Pelodiscus sinensis: one gene and its partner. Each later gene encodes a partner of the first gene's protein in a complex. Links are inferred from orthologs where the notes say so. Each region holds a gene or a part of one and is shown in the gene's direction. Other genes may lie near its edges.

Region 1 (9,298 bases):
CATCGCTTGCAGCCACTCGGATCCCACTTAATAAAATCACTTTTGTTTGTCATCCAGCGCCAGTAACTGCTGCCTGGGGGCGGAGGAACAGCTGGTGGCATCTCTCATTGGCGACGGGGACTGACCTGATCTTTCTCTGCGTAGAACTTTTATACGGAATCAAGTGGCTTTATCTGGGGGTTTGGTCTCATTGGGGCCATGCTCCCAAGTGCTGGCAAGTCCCTGTAACTGAGCCCCCCCCTCCCCTAAGCTGCTCTCAGTGTCTGTATTACTCTGCTGGGGGGGCTCTTACTCCAACCCTGTGCCATGGCTGGGGGAGGCCAGAGCTTCTGGCCCATCAGGACAGGTGGTGGGGCGCCCCCGAGGGCAGGCAGGTGGACTCAGTGGTATGATTAGCACATCGGGTGACAGTCCCAAGGGGATCTCTGTGACCTGACCTCTCACACCACGTTGGCCAGTTCTCTGGGTATGTCTACACTGCGAAGACACACCTGCAGTAGTAAATCCAGAGCCTGGGCCTAGAGACGCAGGCCCCCAGGGCTCAGCGACAGCGCTAAGAATAGCAGTGGGAAAGTTCCCAGTCCGGCTGGTGCGTGGGCTCTGAAATCCAGCGAAGGGTGCACGTAGGAGTTGTATAAATCCATGGAAGACTGATCCATCAATGGCTATTAGCCAGGATGAGCAGGGAGGGTGTCCCTGGCCTCTGTTTGCCAAAAGCTGGGAACGGGCAACGGGGTGGGATCAGCTGATTCCCTGTTCTGTTCTCTCCCTCCGGGGCCCCTGGCATTGGCCGCTGCCGGCAGCCAGGACCCTGGGCGAGATGGCCCTTTGGTCTGACCCAGAATGGCCATTTACACACCTGTGCCCCACACTGCAAAGAAGGTGACTCTCCCTCATCCCAGTTTCTCTGCCAATCTGACCCAGGGGGAAATTCCTTCCCGACCCCAAATACAGCAACCAGTTAGACCCTGCCCATGTGGGCAAGACCCACCAGGCGGATAGCTGGGAAGGAATCCTTTGCAGTAACTCTGTGTCCCATCTCTGGCCACTGCAGATCTTTGCTGGTAGCAGTCATAGGTCAGCTCCATGCCTTTGGGGGCAGCGCATCCGTCCTGCCATAAACTTACCAAGCTCAGGTAGGTCTTTGCCCCCACTGCTCCCCTTGGGAGCTTGTTTCAGACCAAGGCCGGATTAAGCGGGGGTTAGCTGGGCAGCTGCCCAGGGTGCAAGTATGGCTCGGTCCGGCGCTGTTCCAGACCTTCACCCCTCTGCTGGCTAGAAATCTTCACCTCATTTCAAGCCTAAACTTGACCAATGGGCTAGCAGCGTGTAGACTGGCCCAGAGGTCTGAGGGGTGGACTGACCCACACGTACACGCCAGTGCAATCACCCTCCGACAAAGCAGAATTTGCACATCAGTCTGGTAGATTCGGGGCAGCCTGCGCGCATGTGCCACATTTGGAGCAGAGGGGGAACACGCTTGCTAGCTGAGTCTTACCTCATTCCAGGTGGGATTCTGCTCCTTCTGCACGACTCTGGTGCTCCTTGTGACATCTAGGAGAGATTAGACATACCGCGGATGCCCCCAGCTTTCCACTGCCAGGCTGTGCCGTGGAGTCCTAGGTTCCAAGGCCGGAATGGGCCACTATGTTCATCTAGTCTGCCCTGCAGGCCAGGGGCCTGCCCTGACGGTCAAAGATGACACACAAGTCTAAACTTTCAAACTTTGGCAGGGATTTGGAGGGCCAGTTGCCTTTCATTTTCATAAAATCGAGGCATCTGAATCTCTCAGACACTTTGAAATCTCGGCCTTCGTGCCTACGAAGGTACGTTTCCTTCCCTGGCTTTGGTTTTGACCTGTGTTCTGCTTGGCGCAGATGCCTTAACAATGCTCCTGTGAGCCCCTTTAACTCCTGAAGGCCCTAACCCCGGGCAATCCTGGAGACTCCCCCCCCCCAAGCCTCCCCCCACAAAGTCACAGAGGCTGTTCAGAGAGCAGGGCCAGTGCAGGTGGGTTGCATCAGCTGACCCAGCATTGAGGGCACCGGGGAAAGGGAGGCCAGCTGAAGGGGAGTTTGGAGGCTGCCAGGGCCCCTGGGCGAGGAGGAAGAGAGTGCCTGAGACCTGATCTGGAAGGGGCATCCAGGGAGAAAAGCCCTGGGTGTGGAACAGGGCATAGAAGCAGGCGCAGCAGGACTGCCAGACTTCCCGGGAAGGGCGGCTGTGGGAGCCGGAGAGCGAAGGGGAGGAGCCAGGGGGAGGTTTTGTTGAAGCCACTACAAGAAAGCAGCAGAAAAGAGAGATGGGTGTGTTGGAGGCCTTGTCGAGAAGGGGGAAGCCCTGCCTTGTTACAAACCCCGCTGCACAGCTCATGGGGGGGGGGAGGGCGGCTTCTTGTCTTGTCCTTCAGTACTAAGTAGATTCATTGCCTCCGTACCACTCAGCTCGGAACAGCAGGAGGCCCTTGATGTGCAGAGACAAAATGCACCTGAGACGGGCAAAGGGTTATCGACTTATCTCCAGGGAAATAGGGAGCAAATAGTTGTTACCTCTGAAGGTGGCAGACACGTGGGAGTCAGGTGTGGTGAATTTTGCAGGGGGGATGTTGGCAGACAGAACCACGAGGTGCAGCATTTCTGTTCCACCTCTGCTGATGCTCTCCCTTCTTCGTAGCCAATGACTTTATTCTGTAACCATACAAGCCCTTCAGTACTTCCTTCTTTCCCCTTTACTCTGCCCATCCCTGTTTTTTGTCCTGTCAGTGGGTTGTTAGTAGCAGTAACTCATGTGTTTACAGCTTACCTCCGAATGCCGCTTTGTGGCTTTGTCTCACTGGAAGTCCTGTCTGTACGGAATGCACTTTCCGTTTCCAGGAAGTAGATCAGAGTGAGGCATGACATCACATAGAGGAAAAGGCCAAATAGTGCATCTAGGAAGTGATGCCATAATAGGAAAGAAAGAGGCTTCCATTCATAGATCAGCGAGGGTCAGCTGTTTGATCCCATGCTATGGCTTTGGAGATAAAACCTGAGGTGCTGACTGCCTTGGCTATTGGTAGTACCTGGACATTTTTTGGTGTCTTGAACAAATTCCCACATTGATGTCTGCATTCAGCCTGCTGCTTCCACTGGATACAATGCTTTTTTCACTTTGACCTAAGACATCATGTAGTGTTGATCTGAGTTGTTAAACAATGGCCAAGCTACCCTCCAGACTTGGCTACATGTAATTGGTGGGCAAATCACCCTCTTTCTTAACATGAAGTTTTGTTCTGTGTTATGAGTCACTGATAAGGTTTTGGAGACATGATAGACTAATAATCATTGGGTGTCCTTTCCTTCCCTGGAAATGTACCTAGCCCACATAGCCAGTGTAAGACTTGCCTAATGTGTGAGAACCCTGGAGGTAGCAGTTGGTCAAACAAAGATCCAATTACTGCTTATTTCAGCAGCTTGTGGAAACTCCCTAAGCAGAGTAAGAGGCTGCTGGGGGACCTATGCAAACACTGAACGCAGGGTGGTGGGTGAAGCTTCTGCTGGGGAGGTGACCTTCCTACCCTCATCTTCTCCCTGTGCCCAACACACATTCGACCCCTTCTCCCCTCCAGGCCACGCCCTCACCCCACTGTCTTCTTCTCTTCCCTCCCACTCCCTGTTCATCCTCTTCCACCCAAATCCCTGAGCCCAAATGAAACAAATGATATCACCCCCCCCCACTCTTCTGCATTGTCTTTCTGAAGAAAATGGAGCGTGTTTTCCATTGCATGCCAGGTGGTGAAGACTGGGCAAGCAGACGGTACCTTACTGAAAGCACTAAACTTGTGAATAAAAAATGTCAGTTACATGTGTTTTGATATACCCTGAGGTTTGTCAGAGGTTTATTTGCAAAAAGTTTGTAGTAAAGGGATTAGTCAGCTGTCCTGCTGAATACAACATGAAATATATTATGGAATACATCATAGATTCCCAAACTGGGGGGCATGCCCCCCCTTGGGGTGTGTGAAGAGATTCCAGGGGGGCGCAAGGCAACCCAGCCCCCCCCGTCAACCTCCCCCCGCCCCTCCCCCAAGAAAGAGCCTGGTCAGTCTGGTAAAAAAAATTCAGAAAATACCATGTGAAATGTCCAGTATTTTCTATTTTTCCTGGCTTGGGTGTCCACTGGAACACACACCTGGAGTATTGGTACCTTTGTTTTTACACAGGTCCTGGGAATCAAAGGGGCCACGACTGTTTTTTGGGCCTGGTCAGTTCCTTTCTTTTTTTTTTGCTCAACAAGTTTTGGGGGGGCAGGTGTGAGGGTTTCTCAAAAATCAAAAAGGGGGTGTGATTCTGAAAAGTTTGGGAACCCCTGGAATACATGATAGAGCTCTTCAGGGTTGTACATTTTCTTAACCAGTGTTTCTAAGCCGATTTATAATTAAAATACACTCTTAACCCTTCATCAAGTAACCATTCCAGAGTGCTACATACAAGAGACCCTCCTGGATGGGATCCCTTCATGGAAGCGCTGTTTGCAGTTGCATGTATTTGTGGGTCTCTCCTATCCCCTGCATTGCACCACATCCCCCGGCTTGGGGGGGGTCGATGCAGCCTCGGTGGGAGCAGGGATCGGGATTCTGCCCCGCACTCACCCTGGCATCGGGGAGGCCCTACCCCAGTATTTGCCTATTTCGCCATCGGCGGTGGTGCCAGGAACACCAGGGTTTCCGGAATTTAACTCACTGAAACCAAGATACTAGTTTAAGTGACTGGGGCTCTGTGCACCCGGAGTTTCATGCACCAGTGTGATCAGGGCACCAGGGCTGGGAGAGAGCTCGGCTCACACGGGGGCACCGGGGCTGGGAGAGAGCTCGGCTCACACGGGGGGGGGGGGCACCAGGGCTGGCCAGCAGGCCCCGTGGCTGCGCTGCGACAAGCCTCCCCCATTCAGCCTTCCTGGCCCAGCTCCGCTCCGCGCGGGGCCGATCCGCTCTCCGGCATGTGTCAGCGCCGCGCGCTCCGCTCCGAGGTCCGGGCTCCGGGGTTTGCGGGAGCGGCGCCTGCGCAGTGCGCGGGGCCGGGCGGGCGGCTGAGGCCTGGTGGAACGGCGAGAGCCTGAGGCGCGGAGCCGGCCCCGGGTGAGCGGAGCGGAGCCCCCCCCCGAACCCTCCCCCAGCGCCCTGCCCCCCCAGGACCCCCCCGGACCTTGCTCCCCCCCCTTGCGGCGCGCCTGGGCGGGGGGCGGGGCAGGGGGTTTGGGGGGCAGGACGGGATTTGGGGGGAGGGGAGCGGGGGGTTTGGAGGGGCAGGGGGGATGGGAGCGGGGGGTTTGGGGGGGCAGGATGGGATTTGGGGGGATGGGAGCGGGGGGCAGGGCAGGGGGCTTGGGGGGGCAGGGTGGGATTTGGGGGGATGGGAGCGGGGGGTTTCGGGGGGCAGGGTGGGGGCAAGGGGTTTGGGGGGGCAGGGTGGGATTTGGGGGGAGGGGAGCGGGGGGTTTGGGGGGGCAGGGTGGGATTTGGGGGGATGGGAGCGGGGGGCAGGGCAGGGGGCTTGGGGGGGCAGGGTGGTGGTGGTGCCAGTTCGTAGCAGGAGGGCCCTGACTGGGGGCATTCTGGGGCTGGAGCAGTTTGCACACACGCTAAGGGGCCCCAGGCTGTCTGGCGAGGTGGGGGTCTGTCCTGTTTTGTGCTTTATTGGGGCTGGGTCAATACAGCAGGGCCCTTTTCCTGCAGCATGTTCACCCTCCCTCTCCTGTCCTGTCCCAGTGCAAGGAGGCCAGGATGAGGAGCCGGAAGAGGCATTTACGTTGGCGCTAGATGCTGGGACGACCCAGAAGACATGACCTACCGAGGCACTGAGCGGGACTTCCAGACTTCAGCCAGGAGGATGGGAACCTCGTTGCTCTTCCAGCTCTCTGTCCATGAGAGAGAGCTAGACCTCGTCTTCTTGGACCATAGCTATGCCAAGCCATGGAGTGCCCACCCTGACGCCAGCAGTGCCCGGCCTGCACGGATGCTTTTCGTCACCCCCAGGAGGCACCAAGACAGCAGCATGTGAGCAAAGCCCTTTCTAGTGCTTCTGAGTTAATTTGCTTTGGATTCACACATATTTTGGATACTCCTTTCCTATGCTCTGATGGCTTTCTTGCTTTCTGTATCTGCTTTCAAGGTGCTTTTCAACACAGTAGGTAACATATTAAAACCCCAGCATAAGAACATAGAATGGCAAGACTGGGTCAGGCCAAAGGTCCTTCTAGCCCAGACAGTGGCCAATGCCAGGTGTCCCAGAGGGAAAGAACAGAGCAGGGAATGATCAAGCTTCTGACACACACTGGCAGAGGACACCATTCCTACCCGTCCTGGCTAATAGCCATCGATGGACCTGTCCTCCACGAATTTATCCAGCTCTTTTTTGAACCCTGTTAAAGTCCTAGCTTTCACAACAGCCTCTGGCAAGGAATTCCACTGGTTTTGTGTTGTATGAAGAAATGTTTCCTTTATTTTAAACTTGCTGCCTATTCATTTCATTGGGTAACCCTGAGTTCTTCTGTTATGAGGAGTAAATAACACTTTCTTCTCTATACCAGTCATGATTTTATAGATCTCTACCATATCTCTCGGTAGTAGTCTCTTTTCCCAAACTGAAGAGACGCAGTCTTCTCTTTGCTCGTGTGGAAGCTGTTCCATACCCCAGTCATTTTTGTTGCTTTTTTTGTACCTTGTCCAATGTCAATATATCTGTTTCAAGATGGGGTGACCACATCTGCATGTCGCTTACCATGAACTTATATAGAGGCATTATGATATTTTCTGTCTTATCTGTCCCTTTCTTGATGATTCCCAACATTCTATTCACTTTTTTGGCTGCTGCTGCACACTGAAGGGATGTTTTCAAAGACGTATGCACAATGACTCCAAGTTCTCTTGAATGATACCAGTTAATTTAGACTCCATTTATGTGCCAAGTTGAGTTTTCCAATATGCATTACTTTACATTTGTCAACATTGAATTTCATCTGTCAGTTCTCTAAACAGGACAATTTGTACCTGACCATGTAAGCTGTAGAAGTTCTCCCCTAGAGGGCAACCTGCTTTGTCTAGAATCAATTTTTAAAGCATTAACACACACTAATTGAGCTGGGTTTGAAGTTTTCAGTTAAATGTCAGATATACTGATATTTCTAAATTGAAACTGTTGCTGTTAGACTTTCCCCTTTTGAAAAAAAAATGAAAACAATGTTTTGGAATTGTGAGAATTCCATTTTGAAAATTTGCAGCCTTTTTCATTTTCAACCTTTTTTCATTTGCAGGCCCCTAAACATTTCAAATGGAGGTGCTGACCCATTTGGAAATTTAAGACATCTGCAGACCTCCAGGGGCCTGCAGACCACAGGTTGAAAACAACTGTGCTACATTGATGAGCCCATTATCAGATATTTATTCCGCACATAGGTACTTTCAGCCTGTACTCAAGTCACCCTTTAGTCTTCTCTTTGTTAAACAAAATAGATGAGCTGCTTGTGTCTTTCATTATAAGACAGGCTTTCTAAGCCTTAATCATTCTTGTGGCTCTTCTTTGGACTTCTCCAGTTTATCTATACCCATTTTGATTTGTGGGCAGCAGAACTGCACACAGTATTCCAGCATCGGTCTTACCAGTGCCAAGTAAAGAGTAGGATGTAAAATCCCATTTAATTAGTTAACTGGTTAAATATTAAGTTTAACCAGTTAACTGATTAAAGGGGAAAGATGGGGAGAGGGAGAGGTGGTTAACTGTTACCCAGTCACATCTCTAATACAGAGGTGAAATTAATTTTCTGCTCTTTCACTAGATATTGAAATTAAATTTTGTAATTGACTTGATTGGAGACATTTGTTGCATTTCCAATTTATGTACATTTGCCAGATTTTGAATTTTCACCTAGGGTATGTCTATGCTACAGAGTTTTGTCAGAAAAACAACTGTTTTTCCAACAAAACTTGAGGAATGTCAAAACTGCAATTGCATTCTTCCTCAGGAAAATCAAAAGAACAGAGGGGTTTTTCCGGCATTGGTAATCCTCATTCTGCGAAGAAGCAGCCTTTTTCTGAAACAGCTCTAGATTCAGGATGAGAGTATTTTTCAAAATCTCAAAAATTTTCCTGGGTCAGGAAAATTGTTTCCTGCCTAGCTCCAGTGCGAACATCATACCTTTACATTCTGGTCTAGACAAGGCCTGAAACATTCAGTAAGTCCAGTTAAAGTGTAGAAATCTGCTTAGAAAAAGCTAATCATGTAAGTACAGTGGCTTTGTTTTGACTACACTTTTAGAAGCAGTTAATTAGGTTGAGTTGGGTAGTTTGAGCTAACATCATATTGCTATATTTTATTCTAAACAAAACCTTTAGGGTGTGTCTACATAGCACCATAGCTTGAAATAAGCTTATTTCGTACTTTTGCGCCAAATTTCAGAATATCTTGAAACGTCCCTTATTCCTTGTGGAATGAGGTTTACAGGGATTTCGGAATAGCGAGTCTGTTATGTTTTGAAATAGCTATTCCACATCTTGCTGTGAAGATGTGGGATAGCTATTTTGGGATACTCTGGTATCCCGAATTAGCGCTTCAGGGTAGACGTAGCCTTAGAGAGGAACTGGGCATGAGCTAATAACTTTGCAGACCCAGTCTACACTACAGAATGTCACCATGGCTGACCATGGTTGCTGGGCTTGGGAGCTAGCTAAATGCTGACTGCATTTGAGAAGTCTGACTGCCTTCAGCTGATAGTGACAGCTGGGTCATTCCCTGTCTCCAGCATCATATGCGCTCATGTGATTACTGAGGACTATAGTTAGAGTAAAATTTCCAAGTGCAGACCAGGCCTCAGCCTGCCTCTGCAAAAGGTGGGGAGGTTGGTAGTTCTCAGAAAGCAAACCACGGCCACTGGGGCTGTGACTGTGGAAACTCACCATAAACAAACTGTCTCATGGCCTGTAAGCGAATTACCGTGATGGACCCAGATGCAGCCTACAGGTTGCTTGCCACTGAGCTAATGCAACTCTTGGATGAATAAGTACAGTAGAGAGAAGGAGCAAGGAGGTGATTTTTATCTCTCTTCTTCACTGGTGAGACTGATTTGCTGCATCCAGTTCTAATATTTGAATCATTACGGGGATGTTGGAAAATATGGAGAAAGTGCAGAAAAGAGTCACAAAAATGATTCAAGGTCTGGAAAAAATACCTAATAGTGGGAGGCTGAAAGCTCAGTTTTATCAACAGGAAAATTGAGAGGTGACATTGATATAATCAATACCTTCATGGGGAAAATAGCAGGTACT
Region 2 (9,794 bases), on another chromosome or scaffold:
CCTAGCTAGTTTTGGGCTTTTTTTATTGTATTTACTAATCTTTCAGAGAATCTGGAGTCTCTGTTGTGGCTCAGGTTATAATTTCCCAAACTCCCAGTAAACTATCTCTACTGGTGTTCGGGAAACCCTCTCTTCTGCACTGAACTCTGCCTGTCTTTTTAATGTTCTCTTTTAACCTGGAGCTGCACTGTCCCTGGCCAGGGAGTCTCAGTCTGTGTGGAGTTCTCAGCCAGTACCAGCCTCATCTGGCTTTGGGTGCAAAACTTTTATTCCCTCTTTACCTATGTAACACTGAGACTCTCAGCAGGGGTTTGGCCGTTGCTTGACCTGCACCTTTTGTGGCACATTCACTATCTCTTTAATCAAGCCATTAATGAGGTTGCTTCTTTTACATCACAGACACTTTGTAGCTCTGCCCTTTTTGCTATTAATGATTTTTTTTAGCAGGTGAGCAGTTTACTGCTTCAAATGTAGCCGCCTCAGGGGTTGGATGGAGAAGACCCTTCATAGGGTTCAACATGCAGGGGTTTCTCTGGGAGTGGGGGGCGGGGTGTGTCTTGCTGTTGTCTGGAATAAAATCTATTTTAATGGCTACATTTCTAGCACTTCCAACTGCCACTTTCCCGCTGGGATTGATGCTCTGCTGTCTTAGCCCTCGGCCATAAACAAGTGAATTTCATGGCCAAGCTGCAGGAATTGTATTCCCATCTAGACTCTACATGAAAAGGCCAGTCTTTCAAAAGTGCCCAGCACCGGACTTGAGATCGCTCATGAAGCTAGAATTTGGAGGGTTGTGTAAAACATCCAGCTGTATTAAATGAAGGGGAAAACCCAACAGTACTTAAATGTATCACCTTCACCACATGAGCTTGCAAATCCTGCATAGTTCATGGTCTGAGAGGCCTGGCTTTGCAGGTGTTTGTGCTGTATGGTGGATCCTGTTTAAAGAAAGGGGCCTGGGTTAGGATGTGGAGCACAGAAATTCTGGAGAAACATCTGTTCTCTAGGTTTCCTTTGCTTTTGATTTAAAAAAAAAAAAGTTCATAAGACAGTACAAAAAGGTAAATGACTAAAAGGGGTTTCCTTTTTAAGATACAGTAAGAGTTCAGCTTAAATCACGGAGAAACTTTCTTCTGGCATTCCTGCCCAAAATGGATCTTGCATCCCAGATGGAAAAAGAGCACAATGCACGGAGAAATCATTAGTGTTTCAGGCACTCTTAAATGCATGAATTCAGTGTCTGTTGTACCATCTAAAATTGCCTCTAGGTTTTATCCAGGTGTCTTAATGTGTTCATGTAAGAGAGCAGAGAATCTGACTTCTGATGTACTATGGGCTCAACTTACCCATTCTTCCTATCGCAGGCATCAGTGGATCAGGAAATGGAAACTGGAGGCCCTGACTTAAACCCCTTTGACATTCTGTGGTGACTCCGGTATAAGCTGACTTTCCTTCTGGCAGTGGAAAGAATGGCATGGGTGTAAGTCACTGGCTGTTGGAGGTGGGGTGGGGGCTGCTCTACTTGCAAGTTGCTTTTCCTGCAGTACCCTTTTCTGTGTAAGTTACCTGGCTTCCTCACCACTGAATGCTATATCTGCAAAGGAGGATACTCCATCATACTCACTCGGTGTGAACTGTAAAATGCTGCTGAAGTTGGCAGACGGGTGTTCCGATCTTATCTTCCAAATCCGACTGGAAAGTGGGGGTAAAAGACAGGGTGTGTGAAACCTCTGCAGTGAGGGAAGGCAGCAGTCCTGCCTGAATTTTCCACCCCACAGATAATCTCTGGCAGTGGTGAAGCTGCTCACTCTCTGGTCAGACACACCAAAAACATTTTGAGTGTGAAGATAGCAACCCTGCCCCTAGTAGCACTCCATGCGTTTTCCTCTCTGAGCACCTGTGGTCTAAAATTCTTTCATCCTTTGGGGAAGAAAGGGTGACTGGCAGGGGTGAGGGAGGAAGGGTAATTTAATACTATTCTGAACTGTTTATAAATATTTAAACTGTGGACACTTTTAAAAAAGAGAAGTTTGCTACAATTCCATGGTAAACTCATTTCCTTCAAGATACGGCTGTCTGGGAAGGGCACAACTGGCCTGAGTCTTCAGAGCCAACCACCTTTGGTCTGTGAAAGGGATGCTTGACAGCATTCAAAGCTACTGGTGCTTCACAACACCTTTGTACTAGAGGTTCTTGGGGTGGGTGGGTGATACAACTGTGCTGTTGCTAAGCTTTCTTTCTACAATTACCTAAAACGCAGATTGGAGTCCAATGTCACTTTCTTTTTTTAAACCCACATCAAGCCAAAGAGCAAAGTCAATGTGTGTTCTGATCTCACACTCAGGGTCTGCCTTATGGTTGCAAACTGACCGATTTTTTTTTTCTCCCCCTGCCCCCCTTTCCACCGCCGCTGTTGCCCTTGTCCTGATACCTACTGCATTCTCTGCCCTCTTTCCATCCCACCCCAATACAAAATGTGATGACTTTCAGCAAGAGCGTCTTGTGCACAAACAAGCAGGAAACTGGTTAACCAATTTGGCATCAGGTGTTTGGGATCTTGCTGTCAAGTATGTTCTCTGTATTTATCCACATCAATAAAAGTTAAAGGCAAAGGAGTCAAAGAATTCATCTGCTTCTTGGTTTTGTTTTTTTAAACTGGTAATTGCTATAATTCTGAAGGAAAAGTAGGCTGGCCATGAGGTTAAGGCATGGATTTAAAAAGAGAGACCGTTTCTTTTCCTGAGTCTGCCCTAGACTTTGTGGCCATTTCTTAGTTTCCTATAGAGAAAGGGGATTGGAGTGTCAGCCTCTTGTTAAAACACTTGGAGAAAAAAATGGTGTGTAACTACAAGAGGAATACCCCCCTAGCTGATTTCATCTGTTTGTGTGTGTAGAAAAATAGGAAGGGCTCTTACATGCCATTGAAAAGTAATTGCAAAAGTGTGTTCTTACTCTCTTGTGCATAATTCACTATTCAGCCTTCATTGCAATGAAGGCTGGATACCCAGTCATGAAAAGGAATTCCAGTGTGATGAGGTTCACATTGAATTTATAGTTGAGGACCATGATGGCCAATGTATTAGCCACTAGCCGTGTGTGGCTGTTTGGCCGGCTGAGTGTGGCTTGTTTGCTGAAGTGGCTACTGCTTCAGAACTGGTTGAACACAATGTGTCTAGGAGGAATAGCTCAAACCCTAGTTTGTACATTAAACAGCTGGAATTTTCTTCCCTTCCAATGTCTCTGATAATGGTTCCAGACAGGGCTATTTTGTCCAACTAGGCATGGCTCCCATAGCCAGGGTTGCCTAGTTTGGCTAAGGCTGTGAAGTCACTGTTCTCTTGATAGCCTTTTAGCACCTCTGAAAGGATGGGCTGGTCTTAATCCACAAAGTTAACCTGTCCGGGTTTGACTCACTCCCCCCACCGTAGTTCTGAGAACTAGCTGCAGCCATGGTACTGGTTATTGGGGGTCCAAGTTCTTCAGAGTCAAGTAGAGGCTGGCAACTTTTTTAAAGTGGGTGGTGGGGAGAAGAAGGAAGAGAAACAAGCCCAGCAATAGGCTGCTGGGGCCCTGTCCATAGGGGCTGCTGCTGTGACACAGGAGCGGTTGACTCTAGTAGAGGAAAGGAGAACCACCACTTATTTGTGCACTTGGACCTGCTGTCTGAAGCCACACTGCATAGAATCACAGGCTGGCCTCCTGCTTGGGCCTGATGAACTCAATCAGCAAGCAGGCACGGGGAATGTCTGTCTAATGAGAAGGGGTGGCTGAGCCTCAACCCCACTGCCCTGAGTAAGGGAAGGGACTGTTCAGCCAGACGTTACTCCCTTTGCCTGGAAGGGTCCCTTTGGGTCAGGAGCAAACCGAAGTGCAGAAGGGATAGGGAAGCCATAGAGCTGTGGTGTCCAACAGGAAAGCCACTAGCCACATGTGGCTATTTGGCCGGTTGAGTGTGGCTAGTTTGCTATAGCAGTAGCCATTATGGAACTGGTTGGAAGGGGAGCGTTACTGCAAGAGCAACTGGGAAGCAGCATAGCAGCTAAACTTGCTCTATGATGGTCCATCTAGCCAGCATCCTGTCTTCTGACAGTGGACAGTGTTCATTCCAGAGGGAATAAACTGGTCACCCATTCCTAGCTTCTGACAAACAGAAACTAGGGACACCACCCCTGCTCGTCTTGGCTAATAGCCATGGACCTAACCTCCACTTTTTTTTTCTTTTTTTTTTTGGCCTTCACAGCATCCTCAGGCAAGGAGTTCCACAGGCTGACTGTGTTATGTGAAGTGCTTCCTTTGGCTTGTGTTAAACCTGCTACCGGTTTGTCCTTCCAGCCCTGAGTTTAGGCTAGGCAGATCACTGTGGGCAGCAGCAGAATTGAGGCCTAGAGACAGACAGATGCACCCAGAGCCAGGAACTGGATCTGACTTGGCCAAGTCCAGCCTCATTTTCTCTTCCTCTTCAAGAATTACTGTGGCTGTGTCTAGACTGGCCAGTTTTTCTGGAAAATCAGCCGCTTTTCCGGAAAACCTTGCTAGCTGTCTACACTGGCTGCTTGAATTTCCGCAAAAGCACTGACTTCCTACTGTAAGAAATCAGTGCTTCTTGTGGAAATACTATTCTGCTCCCGTTCAGGCAAAAGTCCCTTTTGCTCAAAGCTTTTGCACAAAAAGCTCACACAGCTCAGATTTGTTTTCCGCAAAAAAGCCCCGATCGCGAAAATGGCGATAGGGGCTTTTTTGCGGAAAAGCGTGTCTAGATTGGCACGGACGCTTTTCCGCAAAAAGGGCTTTTGCGGAAAAGCGTCCGTGCCAATCTAGATGCTCTGTTCCGAAAATGCTTTAACGGAAAACTTTTCCGTTAAAAGCATTTCCGGAAAATCATGCCGCTCTAGACGCAGCCTGTGTGTTTAGTGAATGAAAGAGCTCTGGATGCCCAGCTTGGGGACACCACATGCCCCAGGCAGGGGGGGCTGGGCTGTTTCATCACCAGTTTGCCTATGGGTGCTTTTGGGGAGGGGTAATGCCGCAGGATTCCTCTGCTTCAAAATGCACCCCAACCTATAGCCCCATCCCTTCCCCCGCCAGCCCAGCCTCTCCACCTCCATAGCCATCCCCTCCCCACTCCTGACCTGCCCAGCTCTGCCTCCCTCTTCCTTCCCCTCCATAGCCATACCCTCCTGATCAGCCCAGCCCCATCTTCTGCCCTTTGCTTCCTGCCCTACTTCCCCACCACCATCCCCTCCCCTTCCTGCCCCCCCAGCCCAGCCTCTCCTGCCCCGCCCTCCCAACAGTAGTCCTACCCCATGGTCCATACCCCCTCCTCTCTCTCCCCCTGCATTACCCACACCCTCCAGCCCTTCCCCCACTCCTCCCCCTCCCCTCCCCTCCCCTCCCCTCCAGCCCTTCCCCCACTCCTCAGAAGCCTGCTCTCCCCGCCCCCCCTCCCGTCCCTGCAGGGGGCTGGCCTCGGCTCCCGGACTGATGGGTCTCTCCTCCAATGGCCGCGACGGGGCGGCCTCCTTCCCGTTCCTGGATTGGTGGCGAGTCTGGCCAATGGTGCGGCGGGGGCGGGCGCCAGTCGGTCTAGGCGCGGGCGAGGTAAGATGGCGGCGGTGTTTCCTTGCTAGGCCGATGGCGCGGCCCCCCCCCCAGGCAAAATGGCGGCGCTGAGGGGGGAACCTGCGGGGAGTTAGGGGGACCAGCCCGTAGGAGGCAGGGGGCAGAGCCTGGGGGCGGCCTGTGTTCGGGACCGCCTGTGGGGGTGGGGGGAGTCAGAAGCAGCTGGGGGTCAGCCTGTGGGGGGGGAGGGGAGAGCGGCTTGGGGGTCAGCCTGTGGGGGGGGGAGGGGAGAGCGGCTTGGGGGTCAGCCTGTGGGGGGGGAGGGGAGAGCCGCTTGGGGGTCAGCCTGTGGGGGGAGGGGAGAGCGGCTTGGGGGTCAGCTTGTGGGGGGGAGGGGAGGGGAGAGCGGCTTGGGGGTCAGCCTGTGGGGGGGGGAGGGGAGGGGAGAGCGGCTTGGGGGTCAGCCTGTGGGGGAAGCCCATGAGGGGGGCTGGGGAAAGTTGGGGGGGAACCATCCTGTGAGGTCTGCGGTCCAGGGAAGCAGCTGGGGGGGGGGGTCTGCCTCCCCCAGGGCATGTTTCAGATTCACATTCCCAAGTGGGGTTGGAAGCTCTTCAGGGCAGGGACACAGCACAGAGCCCGTGACTCTGGCTGGGGCCTCCCCTTCCTTTCCCGACACCTGTCAGGGCCTTAGGGTGGGGGTGGGATTGTGGCCCCTGAGCCCACGGCAGAATGTGGTGGGTGAGTCTTGGCAAAGGGGTGTCCTAGTTCTCTGTGGCAGGGGTGGGATGCAGGTGACTCTCACCCTGGAAGGGGCTATCTGGAGAACAGACCCTCCCCTTCCATGTTTTTCCTCCTTGCTGAGGAGACAGTCATGGCACAAAAAATGTGCCTGGGTCTGAATGGCAAAGAGTCTGAGTTGGGCCTCTCCCCATCCTCTTCTGTTTTGGGACCTCCACTGCCAGACAGCACAATGTGAATGCAGGGGACGGAAGTGGCAAAGTGACCAGAGATGCCATGAAGCTCCCACCTCCCAATGAAGAGCAGAATAAACCAAGACTGTAGGAAGGATTCCCTCGTCCTATTCTGTCTTGTAGTACTGAGGTGTCTTATTTTGTGCCAGGACACTGTCTGTATAGCACAGGGATTTATACCAACACTTTGACAAATTATTTGGTCCCTTTGATGATGATAACAGAGGCTGATCAGTTGTACTAGCTTGTGGGGTTTGCTCTAGATATAACAATTATCTGTACGTGTCTGTTGCATGTGTAGGCATGAACAGAATCCGGATCCACGTCTTGCCATCAAGTCGGGGGCGTGTTACCCCTGTGCCAAGGCCCCAGGAACCCTTGCCTTGTGCCTTCACACACCGTCAGTGTTCCCAGCCTCGGCTGGAAGGGCAAGAATTCTGCATTAAGCACATCCTAGAAGACCGGAATGCTCCCTTCAAACAGTGCAGCTATGTCTCAACTAAGAATGGGAAGAGGTGTCCAAATGCTGCTCCCAAAACTGAGAAGAAGGACGGGTAGGTGCTGGTAGAATTAAAGTGGCTTGGCAGGAATATCTTGTCATGCGAAGTATCAATCCCATGGCTAAGGCACAATACAAGGAGCCAGGAGTTTTAGTTTTAGTCCTAGTTAGGCTGCTTTCTCATTGTGGGACCTTGAACAAGTCAGTCTGTCTTTAGCCATCTGCAAAGTGGGAGTAATTATCTGATAGAGGAATTAAAAGTTCATTAATGCTTATAAAGTGCTTTGAGATCCTTGGGTGAAAGGGGCTGGAGAATTGTGTAATGTTTGTTTCCTGGTGCTGGCATCACTGCAGATTTTTATCTTCAACAGTCATAGTGTCAGTTTGGAAATAAGTACGCCCTCTGAGATCACAAATATTTGAATCCCCGGAATTTTGAGTGGAGTCCTTGTGAGGTAAAGATGTTCAGCCCTATGCACGTGGGTCATTAAAAATCCTAGTATCAGTTTTTTGTAAGAGGGAGGGCTTGACCTCGTCCCCTCATCTTACTGCTAGGCCATGTGGCTGCCACCTTCATGGCAGAGGTAACTGCATTTCAGTGGTTGTGCGTGTGGTTTGTCAATCATATATTCTTTAATATATTAGGAACTATACAAATGACTGTCAGAGTTGCTTGAATTTATCATTGTGTTGGAGGAAAGAAGTGGAGATGACTCCTTTTCTAAGCCAAGTGCCAGTGAATACTTTTCACTATATTGCTGTGTTTGCCTTGCTGATTGGAAGCTATGAATTCTGCGAGCCATACAACATTTTGTTTTGTCCCCGCAGGGTATCATTCTGTGCTGAACATACCCGCAGAAATGTGCTGGCACATCAAGCCCAGCTGAAGAAATCCAGCCCTGGACCTATGGGCGAGACTCTTCTTTGCCAACTTAGCACTTATGCAAAGACGGAGCCGGGCTCCCAGACAGCAGAAAGCAGCCGCAGTGAAGCTAGTCGAATCCTAGGTAAGAGTTTCGAATGAAACAGATGAGAATAAATGAATTTGGGGGAAGCTGCGCTCTCTGGGGCTAAAATACAAGAGGAACCAATAACACAGTCACCCAATTAAGAGGAAAAGGAACAATCCCAAGGGATCTGTGGTAAAAAACCATTGTGTCTTAAGATAGACTGTGCTTACTGGTCTCATCACTGGACCCTAAGTCAGGATCTCCTGGTGTTACCCTAGTTAAGCTACGCCTTTCTGGGCTTAGGTTTTCCCCTCCTGTAAAACATGGGACAATGCATCCAAATGAATTTGTGAAATTTAATTAGTAAACATCTGTTCAAGTGCTCCTCTTACTATCCTATCTGAAGAATACCCTTACTACTTCAGCTTGCAGGTTCTGTGCCCTATACAGTGGCTCTCAACCGTTCCAGAGTACCATATCCCTTGCAGGAGTCCGATTTGTTTTGTGTACCCCCAGGCTTCACCTCATTTAAACTTACTTGCTTACAAAATCAGACACTATTACTGAAATAACGCTATTACTGAAAAATTGCTTGCTTTTTCATTTTTACCCTGTAATTATAAAATAAATTGGAATATAAATATTGTACTTACATTTCAGAGTATGGTATAAAGAGTAGTATAAGCAAGTCATTATCAATATGAAATTTTAGTTTGTACTGACTAGTGTTGTAATAGTGTATCATAGAATACTAGGACTGGAAGGGACCTCGTGAGGTCGAGTCCAGTCCCCTGCCCTAATGGCAGGACCAAATACTGTCTAGACCATCCCTGATAGACATTTATCTAACCTACTCTTAAATATCTCCAGAGATGGGGATTCCATAACCTCCCTGGGCAATTTATTCCAGTGTTTGACCACCCTGACAGATAGGAACTTTTTTCTAATGTCCAACCTAAACCTCCCTTGCTGCAGTTTAAGCCCATTGCTTCTTGTTCTATCCTTAGAGGCCAAGATGAACAAGTTTTCTCCCTCCTCCTTATGACACCCTTTTAGATATCTGAAAACTGCTATCATGTCCCCCCTCAATCTTCTCTTTTCTAAACTTAAACAAACCCAATTCCTTCAGCCTTCCCTCTTAGGTCATGTTCTCTAGACCTTTAATCGTTCTCGTTGCTCTTCTCTGGACCCTCTCCAATTTTTCCACATCTTTCTTGAAATGCGGTGCCCAGAACTGGACACAATACTCCAATTGAGGCCTAACCCCAGCGCAGAGTAGAATGGAAGAATGACTTCTCGTGTCTTGCTCACAACACACCTGTTAATACATCCCAGAAACATGTTTGCTTTCTTTGCAACAGCATCACACTGCTGACTCATATTTAACTTGTGGTCCACTATAACCCCTAGATCCCTTTCTGCCGTACTCCTTCCCAGACCGTCGCTTCCTATTCTGTATGTGTGAAACTGATTGTTCCTTCCTAAGTGGAGCACTTTGCATTTGTCTTTATTAAACTTCATCCTATTTATCTCAGACCATTTCTCCAATTTGTCCAGGTCATTTTGAATTATGACCCTATCCTCCAGATTAATCGCAATCCCTCCCAGTTTGGTATCATCTGCAAACTTAATAAGTGTACTTTCTATACCAATATCTAAATTGTTGATGAAGATATTGAACAGAGCCGGTCCCAAAACAGACCCCTGCGGAACCCCACTTGTTATGCCTTTCCAGCAGGATTGTGAACCATTAATAACTACTCTCTGAGTATGGTTATCCAGCCAGTTATGCACCCACCTTATAGTAGCCCC

Evidence for each region.
Region 2: KANSL3 (region 1) and KANSL2 share a complex: the UniProt entries of both Homo sapiens proteins name them as parts of the NSL complex. The link is inferred for Pelodiscus sinensis from reciprocal best matches to the Homo sapiens genes KANSL3 and KANSL2.

Annotation. Positions count from the first base shown.
Region 1 is NC_134738.1:5,844,673-5,853,970, forward strand, and holds the start of KANSL3 (KAT8 regulatory NSL complex subunit 3), read left to right. Parts: upstream 1-4,974; 5' UTR 4,975-5,116; intron 5,117-5,746; 5' UTR 5,747-5,819; coding exon 5,820-6,034; intron 6,035-9,298. Other genes in the region: FER1L5 (fer-1-like protein 5), read right to left, coding at 1,499-1,554, 2,550-2,634. UniProt on the Homo sapiens protein: Non-catalytic component of the NSL histone acetyltransferase complex, a multiprotein complex that mediates histone H4 acetylation at 'Lys-5'- and 'Lys-8' (H4K5ac and H4K8ac) at transcription start sites and promotes transcription initiation.
Region 2 is NC_134729.1:5,181,673-5,191,466, forward strand, and holds the start of KANSL2 (KAT8 regulatory NSL complex subunit 2), read left to right. Parts: upstream 1-5,466; 5' UTR 5,467-5,598; intron 5,599-6,834; 5' UTR 6,835-6,836; coding exon 6,837-7,087; intron 7,088-7,860; coding exon 7,861-8,039; intron 8,040-9,794. UniProt on the Homo sapiens protein: Non-catalytic component of the NSL histone acetyltransferase complex, a multiprotein complex that mediates histone H4 acetylation at 'Lys-5'- and 'Lys-8' (H4K5ac and H4K8ac) at transcription start sites and promotes transcription initiation.